Saccharomyces cerevisiae S288C: one gene and its partner. The gene in region 1 interacts genetically with each later gene. Each region holds a gene or a part of one and is shown in the gene's direction. Other genes may lie near its edges.

Region 1 (3,985 bases):
TACACTCTTTAGAAAACACTATTTCCTCACTCTCGGAAGCAGATTTCGAAGTTCTTCCTTACTTCTGAGCTTTGCTTCTCCTTCCTTGCGATTAATGTTACCCGGTATACGAAATCGGAGAGGATCAGAATAAATGCATTGAAAGGAGCATAAATCTATACAGCGGTTTGGCAATGGTGAGAGGAAGAGAACAAAAAATAGAACGCAGATAGTCATGTCCAAATACGCTTGGTATACCAGAGTTACAGATACATTACATCGTCTAACGGTACTGACGTTGGTTGGTGGTACGTTATACATGTCGGGTGGCTTAGCTTACACTTTATACATGAACGGTAAGAAGTACGAACAACAAGTGACCCAACAAAAGGCACTTGAAGAAGACAATCAACAACTGCAAAGTCCTACTGCACCTCCTACCGAGTAAACTGCGAGAACCCAGTGCTAATAAAATGAAGAAAAAGTACTAGATTACATTTTTAAGTGTTGCACTATATTCTAAGGGCCTCCATCGACGTAGTGTGCTGGTTCCACCTTCTCCTCATTATCATGCCAATATTTACGAACCTGTATATAATAATTAAATCATAAGAAACAACAAAAATAAATAACATTGCTGCCGGATTCCCGTAGGCAAAACTAACATATATATCGCTGCATGCCTTCCTATTCCTTATCAGGGGAAAGACTGCCACTGAGGTTTGAGGCCAAAGGCTGAAACACTTTTCTTCTAAAATGTCGTCTATTCGCCATCTAGTTTTTTATCTGACTATTTCTCGCTGTTTACTTTTTCTTACTGCCATTATGTAGGCCTTTTGAGTCAGCTTTGTGAAGAGATCTTATTACCTTAATTCTTGCTGAAAAATACATCGCAATGAAGTCACTTTCGTGATGGAAAGAACACGGCGGTAAGAATACGTTCCTTTTTGTGCTGTGTACACCCGTAAAATTGTACATTATTTATTTCAAAATATATAACAGGATCCCTCCAGTGTGTCTGAAATGATGCAACTCTGATACTTCAGAGTCGTACCCTTATTAAATACTAATGCCGAATATAGTCATCCAGTAGCCATAGTTCACACACACATTACTTATTCACCACATAAAGAACTAGAAATGCTTGCTAAATATCGTACCTTGAAGGTAAACATTAAGGCCCCCCAAAAGCATATATACATACTGGCAACACAAAAAAAGTAAATTGCCAACCACCTACCTTACATATGGTTTGCCCATCCTACATTACCAATACTATCAAGACATTTCTTCTGAAACATATTCACAACTGAAACGAGATCATTTTCTTATCTATCTATTGAGTAATGCTTACTTTTCATATTTTCAATGAACAATAGGATATGTAGGAGAATTGATATATTCACTGCGTATCAGAGAAAAGGTCTACTGACATTTTATGGCAAATGTATTCTACACAAATCGAGAATACCACAGACAATGGTACAAGACATACACAAAGAGAAGACTGTTCTAATTAAACAAATAATATTGAGCTACCTGCTAAGTATGTCCTTTTCCCTTTGTCCTTTGGTTTCTCTTATAGAAGACCCTGGAAATTTTTCGCATTTTTCCGGCTTTGGGCGTTAGTAAGAACAAAAAGAAAAGAAGAGAACAAAAAAGAAACGATACGGAGTACGTGTCATAAAAACTTGTTCAATCATCCTTGAAGCTAAGTATAAAGAGCTTGAAAAGGTTTACCACTTAAACTGGTTATACTATTTCAAGAGTGTAAACATTTTATTGCATATACCACAGTAACGTGCAGGTAAAACATGAGATTAAGAACCGCCATTGCCACACTGTGCCTCACGGCTTTTACATCTGCAACTTCAAACAATAGCTACATCGCCACCGACCAAACACAAAATGCCTTTAATGACACTCACTTTTGTAAGGTCGACAGGAATGATCACGTTAGTCCCAGTTGTAACGTAACATTCAATGAATTAAATGCCATAAATGAAAACATTAGAGATGATCTTTCGGCGTTATTAAAATCTGATTTCTTCAAATACTTTCGGCTGGATTTATACAAGCAATGTTCATTTTGGGACGCCAACGATGGTCTGTGCTTAAACCGCGCTTGCTCTGTTGATGTCGTAGAGGACTGGGATACACTGCCTGAGTACTGGCAGCCTGAGATCTTGGGTAGTTTCAATAATGATACAATGAAGGAAGCGGATGATAGCGATGACGAATGTAAGTTCTTAGATCAACTATGTCAAACCAGTAAAAAACCTGTAGATATCGAAGACACCATCAACTACTGTGATGTAAATGACTTTAACGGTAAAAACGCCGTTCTGATTGATTTAACAGCAAATCCGGAACGATTTACAGGTTATGGTGGTAAGCAAGCTGGTCAAATTTGGTCTACTATCTACCAAGACAACTGTTTTACAATTGGCGAAACTGGTGAATCATTGGCCAAAGATGCATTTTATAGACTTGTATCCGGTTTCCATGCCTCTATCGGTACTCACTTATCAAAGGAATATTTGAACACGAAAACTGGTAAATGGGAGCCCAATCTGGATTTGTTTATGGCAAGAATCGGGAACTTTCCTGATAGAGTGACAAACATGTATTTCAATTATGCTGTTGTAGCTAAGGCTCTCTGGAAAATTCAACCATATTTACCAGAATTTTCATTCTGTGATCTAGTCAATAAAGAAATCAAAAACAAAATGGATAACGTTATTTCCCAGCTGGACACAAAAATTTTTAACGAAGACTTAGTTTTTGCCAACGACCTAAGTTTGACTTTGAAGGACGAATTCAGATCTCGCTTCAAGAATGTCACGAAGATTATGGATTGTGTGCAATGTGATAGATGTAGATTGTGGGGCAAAATTCAAACTACCGGTTACGCAACTGCCTTGAAAATTTTGTTTGAAATCAACGACGCTGATGAATTCACCAAACAACATATTGTTGGTAAGTTAACCAAATATGAGTTGATTGCACTATTACAGACTTTCGGTAGATTATCTGAATCTATTGAATCTGTTAACATGTTCGAAAAAATGTACGGGAAAAGGTTAAACGGTTCTGAAAACAGGTTAAGCTCATTCTTCCAAAATAACTTCTTCAACATTTTGAAGGAGGCAGGCAAATCGATTCGTTACACCATAGAGAACATCAATTCCACTAAAGAAGGAAAGAAAAAGACTAACAATTCTCAATCACATGTATTTGATGATTTAAAAATGCCCAAAGCAGAAATAGTTCCAAGGCCCTCTAACGGTACAGTAAATAAATGGAAGAAAGCTTGGAATACTGAAGTTAACAACGTTTTAGAAGCATTCAGATTTATTTATAGAAGCTATTTGGATTTACCCAGGAACATCTGGGAATTATCTTTGATGAAGGTATACAAATTTTGGAATAAATTCATCGGTGTTGCTGATTACGTTAGTGAGGAGACACGAGAGCCTATTTCCTATAAGCTAGATATACAATAAGAGCAACACAGTTTATCTTATATGTATTCAATGTATAGATTTCAAAATATAGAGTTTAAATATCATTCAAAATATTCAATAAATTTTTCCTTTGAAAATTTAGGCCACTAAAAAATTATAAGAGCCAAAACGAAGTAGATACAATAATAAAAATAATATAGTCATATCTTAAACTTTTTGTGTAAAATCACTCCTCATTGTTAACCTTGGTAATAAGTTTACCTTTATTAACACCGCTAAATAGACCCTTCCATATCAATGGAACATTCTTGAACTTATCACCGGTACCATCTTCAAGGGTAGCGGATTTCAAGAGGTCAATCTTACCATGCTTAACCAGAGAACCCAATTTATCTAATGCCTTTGGAAAATCATCAATATTATCTGTCACTAGTACTCCTTTAACGACCAATCGTTTAGTCAGAATAAAGCTATACCCCTTAAAGACAAATTTAGATGGATCATTATAGGCACTTATAGCACCACAGGCTATCAACATA
Region 2 (6,062 bases), on another chromosome or scaffold:
TACCTACGTCAACCAGCTGAAGTTTCCATTGAAGAAAAGAACAGATATGTTGAAGAAGTTATTAAAATTCTTGAAATGGAAAAATATGCTGATGCTGTTGTTGGTGTTGCTGGTGAAGGTTTAAACGTTGAACAAAGAAAAAGATTAACCATTGGTGTTGAATTAACTGCCAAACCAAAACTGTTGGTCTTTTTAGATGAACCTACTTCTGGTTTGGATTCTCAAACTGCTTGGTCTATTTGTCAGCTAATGAAAAAGTTGGCAAATCATGGTCAAGCAATTCTATGTACTATTCACCAACCCTCTGCTATTTTGATGCAAGAATTCGATCGTTTACTATTTATGCAACGTGGTGGTAAGACTGTCTACTTTGGCGACTTGGGCGAAGGTTGTAAAACTATGATCGATTATTTTGAAAGCCATGGTGCTCATAAATGCCCTGCTGACGCCAACCCAGCTGAATGGATGCTAGAAGTTGTTGGTGCAGCTCCAGGCTCTCATGCAAATCAAGATTATTACGAAGTTTGGAGGAATTCTGAAGAGTACAGGGCCGTTCAATCTGAATTAGATTGGATGGAAAGAGAATTACCAAAGAAAGGTTCGATAACTGCAGCTGAGGACAAACACGAATTTTCACAATCAATTATTTATCAAACAAAATTGGTCAGTATTCGTCTATTCCAGCAATATTGGAGATCTCCAGATTATTTATGGTCGAAGTTTATTTTAACTATTTTCAATCAATTGTTCATCGGTTTCACTTTCTTCAAAGCAGGAACCTCGCTACAGGGTTTACAAAATCAAATGTTGGCTGTGTTCATGTTTACGGTTATTTTCAATCCTATTCTACAACAATACCTACCATCTTTTGTCCAGCAAAGAGATTTGTATGAGGCCAGGGAACGCCCCTCAAGGACTTTTTCTTGGATTTCATTTATCTTCGCTCAAATATTCGTGGAAGTTCCATGGAATATATTGGCAGGTACTATTGCTTATTTTATCTACTATTATCCAATTGGATTTTACTCCAACGCGTCTGCAGCTGGCCAGTTGCATGAAAGGGGTGCTTTATTTTGGTTGTTCTCTTGTGCTTTCTACGTTTATGTTGGTTCTATGGGTCTGCTTGTCATTTCATTCAACCAAGTTGCAGAAAGTGCAGCTAACTTAGCCTCTTTGTTGTTTACAATGTCTTTGTCTTTTTGTGGTGTTATGACTACCCCAAGTGCCATGCCTAGATTTTGGATATTCATGTACAGGGTTTCACCTTTGACTTATTTCATTCAGGCTCTGTTGGCTGTTGGTGTTGCTAACGTAGACGTCAAATGCGCTGATTACGAATTGCTAGAATTCACACCACCATCCGGTATGACATGTGGGCAGTACATGGAACCATATTTACAACTAGCAAAGACTGGTTACTTAACTGATGAAAATGCCACTGACACCTGTAGTTTCTGTCAAATATCTACAACCAATGATTACTTAGCTAATGTCAATTCTTTCTACAGTGAGAGATGGAGAAATTATGGTATCTTCATCTGTTATATTGCATTCAATTATATCGCTGGTGTCTTTTTCTACTGGTTAGCAAGAGTGCCTAAAAAGAACGGTAAACTCTCCAAGAAATAATAGAATTTTGAATTTGGTTAAGAAAAGAAACTTACCAAGATGGACTTTTTTAATAAACATACATAATCACTACATATAGGTGCGTAATAATAAGTTTTTATTTTTTTTTTCTTAATTCAGCGAGCTTTCTACATTTCAATTTTCTTGAATTTACCAGCTCTGATAAATCAAAGTTCAATGTCCGAAAGAATTCCGAGAATTTTATTCCTAGGTTATCTCATCGGTACTTTTTTTTTATAGGCATCAGCATTTAGTGTGAAAACATTATTTCTTAACTGTGCCTTACGGTTAAAAAGAAAGGACGCAATGGATATAGTTAAAATATAAGATATATTATATCATTATCTGTCCGAATGGCGAACCGTCTTCTCATATACGGCCTTATTTTGTGGGTAAGTATAATCGGATCTTTTGCATTAGATAGGAACAAAACTGCTCAAAATGCGAAGATTGGTCTACATGATACCACTGTGATCACGACTGGAAGTACAACGAACGTGCAGAAAGAACATTCCTCACCACTATCCACCGGTTCTTTAAGAACCCATGATTTTAGACAGGCCTCTAAAGTTGACATACGGCAGGCTGACATACGGGAAAACGGTGAGAGGAAAGAGCAAGATGCACTAACACAGCCTGCAACACCAAGGAATCCGGGCGATTCGAGTAATTCATTTTTATCGTTCGACGAATGGAAGAAGGTCAAGTCGAAGGAGCACTCATCAGGCCCTGAACGTCATCTTAGTCGAGTGAGGGAGCCAGTCGATCCCTCTTGCTATAAAGAGAAAGAATGCATAGGAGAAGAGTTGGAAATCGATTTGGGGTTTTTGACAAACAAAAACGAGTGGAGTGAAAGAGAAGAAAATCAAAAAGGATTCAATGAGGAAAAGGACATAGAGAAAGTTTACAAAAAAAAATTCAACTATGCATCCTTGGATTGCGCTGCAACAATTGTCAAAAGCAATCCAGAAGCGATTGGAGCGACTTCTACGTTAATTGAGAGCAAAGACAAGTATTTACTGAATCCCTGTTCAGCTCCGCAGCAATTCATTGTTATAGAGCTTTGTGAAGATATCCTGGTGGAGGAAATTGAAATTGCTAATTACGAATTCTTTTCCTCGACCTTCAAGAGATTTAGGGTGTCAGTTTCTGATAGAATACCGATGGTTAAAAATGAATGGACAATATTAGGAGAATTCGAGGCAAGAAATTCAAGAGAACTACAAAAGTTTCAAATACATAATCCCCAAATCTGGGCAAGTTATTTGAAAATCGAAATTCTATCCCATTATGAGGACGAATTTTATTGTCCCATATCCTTAATCAAAGTATATGGTAAATCAATGATGGATGAGTTTAAGATCGATCAACTAAAGGCTCAAGAGGATAAAGAACAATCCATAGGAACTAACAATATAAACAATTTGAATGAACAAAATATCCAAGACAGATGTAACAATATAGAAACGCGTTTAGAGACTCCAAACACAAGCAATCTCTCAGACTTAGCTGGTGCATTATCATGTACTTCAAAGCTCATCCCTTTGAAGTTCGATGAATTTTTCAAGGTGCTTAATGCATCCTTTTGTCCTTCCAAGCAAATGATATCTTCTTCTTCTTCTTCGGCTGTTCCTGTAATTCCAGAAGAATCCATTTTTAAGAACATCATGAAAAGGCTGTCACAACTGGAGACAAATTCTAGTTTGACAGTTTCTTACATTGAGGAACAGAGCAAACTGCTATCTAAATCGTTTGAACAACTTGAAATGGCGCACGAAGCAAAGTTCAGTCATCTTGTCACGATATTCAACGAAACAATGATGAGTAATCTAGATCTGCTGAATAACTTTGCCAATCAATTGAAAGATCAATCTTTACGTATATTAGAAGAACAGAAACTGGAGAATGACAAATTTACTAACCGTCATTTATTGCATTTGGAAAGATTGGAAAAAGAAGTCAGTTTTCAAAGAAGAATTGTTTATGCGTCATTTTTCGCCTTCGTAGGGTTGATATCCTATCTATTAATAACGAGAGAGCTTTACTTTGAAGATTTCGAAGAGAGCAAAAATGGCGCTATTGAAAAGGCAGACATTGTTCAACAAGCAATCAGATGAATCCTAGAGGGCCCATAATCATAATTCTAAGCATAATTCATTCAAGATGAAAAAATCCACCGCCATATATGAGGTGTTTCTATAGGAAATATCTATATACTTTTATAGTCCTAATTTCATTTTACATAAACTGTTTTAATCAGTTTCTAATAATCTATGAAGATAATTCACTGTTTCTTGAGGGGATGCTATCCAGAGGGTACATCCAGCTAGCCTTGCCTTAAAATCATTTGCTGATCCCACCGGTGCAAACTGATCGCCTACGTGTAAGGTTTCAGAGGGTTGGATAGGAGATTCAGGGTTATAAAATTGTTGCAATGAACGAACACCAAGATCTTTCCCCCCAATATCACACCAGACATCACTACCACCATCAAAACAACTAAATTGAATTCTTCTAGATGGGGCAAAAGACTCTAAAGTGTTTTGAAGGGTTAAAACTATTTCCTCCAGTTGTTCCCTATCAAGCTTAACAGGAACTTGTCTTTTAGAAGCTTCATCGTACCGTTCGCCTGGGACGATACCCACTGCCCTGACTTTACGGATAATAGAAATCTCTGAAGGTAGGTTTAGTCTTTTTCTTAACCTGTTAAGAGTTCTCTCGGCAAAGTCCAAAGTCTTTTCCACGTCCTCGAGGGACCAAGCCTTCATTCTAGGCAATAGCCATTCCTCTTTGTCAATTTGTCTAAAGCCAAAGTTATCTTCCTCCGGGTCTTCATAGTAACGGAAAAGGTAACTCGACTCACCACCCATTATTGTTAAATTCTGCTTTTGAGAAACTGGTATATCAGTTGAATCATGTAATGCAACAATTAATCCTTTCAATCTGTTCTCATAGGTTCCAGCTTCATCATATCCGGCCGCAGTGACTATTCCCACATTGATACCGCACCGCAACAGCTTGAGAATATAAGGAATTACAGGATTAGTGTAAACCAGGGAGCCACCATCTTCATACAGCGTCACATCTCCATCAAAAGTCACTAATCTCAAAACCTTACCATTATGTAAGTTCTCCTGTTTCTTAAAGTGAAATATCTGTGCAGTATTCAGGATATGCCTGATATCATTAAAACTGGGTGCTACCATTCTACGCGCCGAAATGGCCCGTTGTGAGTCTTCCCATAGAAAAGCTTGTTCCAATGGAAGTTCCGTAAAGAATGTTCCAATTGATGGAACCAAAAGATTTAAACGCGATTGTCCTAATATATTCAGAGATTGAGAAGAGGCGCCATCTTCAATTTCGTCTTGGCTCATGTTTCTTGAGTCAAATTCTATTTTATCTTTAATCAGCCCTTCAATGTCTTTAAAGATATCAGCATACTGCGACCTTACACGTTGAGTTGTTGCTAAGTCGTCATTGTAGTCACCTTCATGAGAGACGGCATGTAGAACAAAAGGTGAGGCCAGTAGCCCCTTTACCCAATCTATAAACTCATCCTTGCGGTGGCTCTTCAAATGATATTCCACTCTATATCTTGAGGACATTGCTATTATAAGTTAACTCACGATCTTTTGTTACTTTCTTTGAATAGTTTTCTTTTCTTAGTACATTCCTTTACCTTTTAAATTTTGTTAATTTAAGGGCGGCCTGTCCCGCTAAACGTGGGAAGTGAAAGGACATGAAATATTATAGTGTAATACAGGAAGTATACAGAGAAATCTATAGAAACCTATCACTGCAGATTCGCACACTACACCCATGAAGTAACCACAGTAGTAAAAAAACATAACAAAAGTCGTAATATTTATCAAAACAAAAACATCATTTACGCCCAAAAGTGGAAGTCAATATTAAGAGCGAAATGAAACAATAGAAATAAAAATAGAATACAATCGGAAAGGAAAGAAATCAAAAGACGGTTAATCAATCTGATGTTAAATCGACCACTTCCGAGTTATCTTGAGCCGATGTGTTAAAGTCATTAGTTTGGGCCAGAGTTTTATTCATTATGGCGTGATTTGCCTGTGGTCTCCGTTTCATAAGGGTGGCGTATGGATTCTTCGGAATGTAGATAGAAACATTAGAATGCCTTCTCTTCCTAATTTTTCCATCATCCCCATGGCCGCTGGTGCTCACGTGTATATATGGAGGGAGATGTGCCGCCGATGTGGTCCTTGTTGGTAGTTCAGTTTCTGCTTCTGAATTTGGGTCCACAGGGGGGATTGGAGGCAAATCACCTTCGATTCCCAAAAGATTACGATCTTGAGCTGTGGTATTGTAATTAGGTCCGTAGGGGTTTCTCTGCGCTTCCGTTTGATTAGTCAAATTTTGTAGAACAGCCGGTAATAGTGGCGTTGATGGCCCTCTATTGT

What was found. A genetic interaction does not mean that the proteins touch.
Region 2: mutations in ERO1 (region 1) and SLP1 together harm fitness more than expected from each alone (negative genetic interaction), as found in Saccharomyces cerevisiae (2 studies listed by BioGRID).

Annotation. Positions count from the first base shown.
Region 1 is NC_001145.3:10,983-14,967, reverse strand, and holds ERO1 (ER oxidoreductin), read left to right. Parts: upstream 1-1,793; coding exon 1,794-3,485; downstream 3,486-3,985. Other genes in the region: COX14 (Cox14p), read left to right, coding at 215-427; YML131W (uncharacterized protein), read right to left, coding at 3,673-3,985. UniProt on the Saccharomyces cerevisiae protein: Essential oxidoreductase that oxidizes proteins in the endoplasmic reticulum to produce disulfide bonds. Acts by oxidizing directly PDI1 isomerase through a direct disulfide exchange.
Region 2 is NC_001147.6:622,747-628,808, forward strand, and holds SLP1 (Slp1p), read left to right. Parts: upstream 1-1,982; coding exon 1,983-3,746; downstream 3,747-6,062. Other genes in the region: ATP-binding cassette multidrug transporter PDR5, read left to right, coding at 1-1,629; ISN1 (IMP 5'-nucleotidase), read right to left, coding at 3,882-5,234; SUMO ligase NFI1, read right to left, coding at 5,614-6,062. UniProt on the Saccharomyces cerevisiae protein: May be involved in membrane protein folding. Required for localization of MPS3 to the nuclear envelope.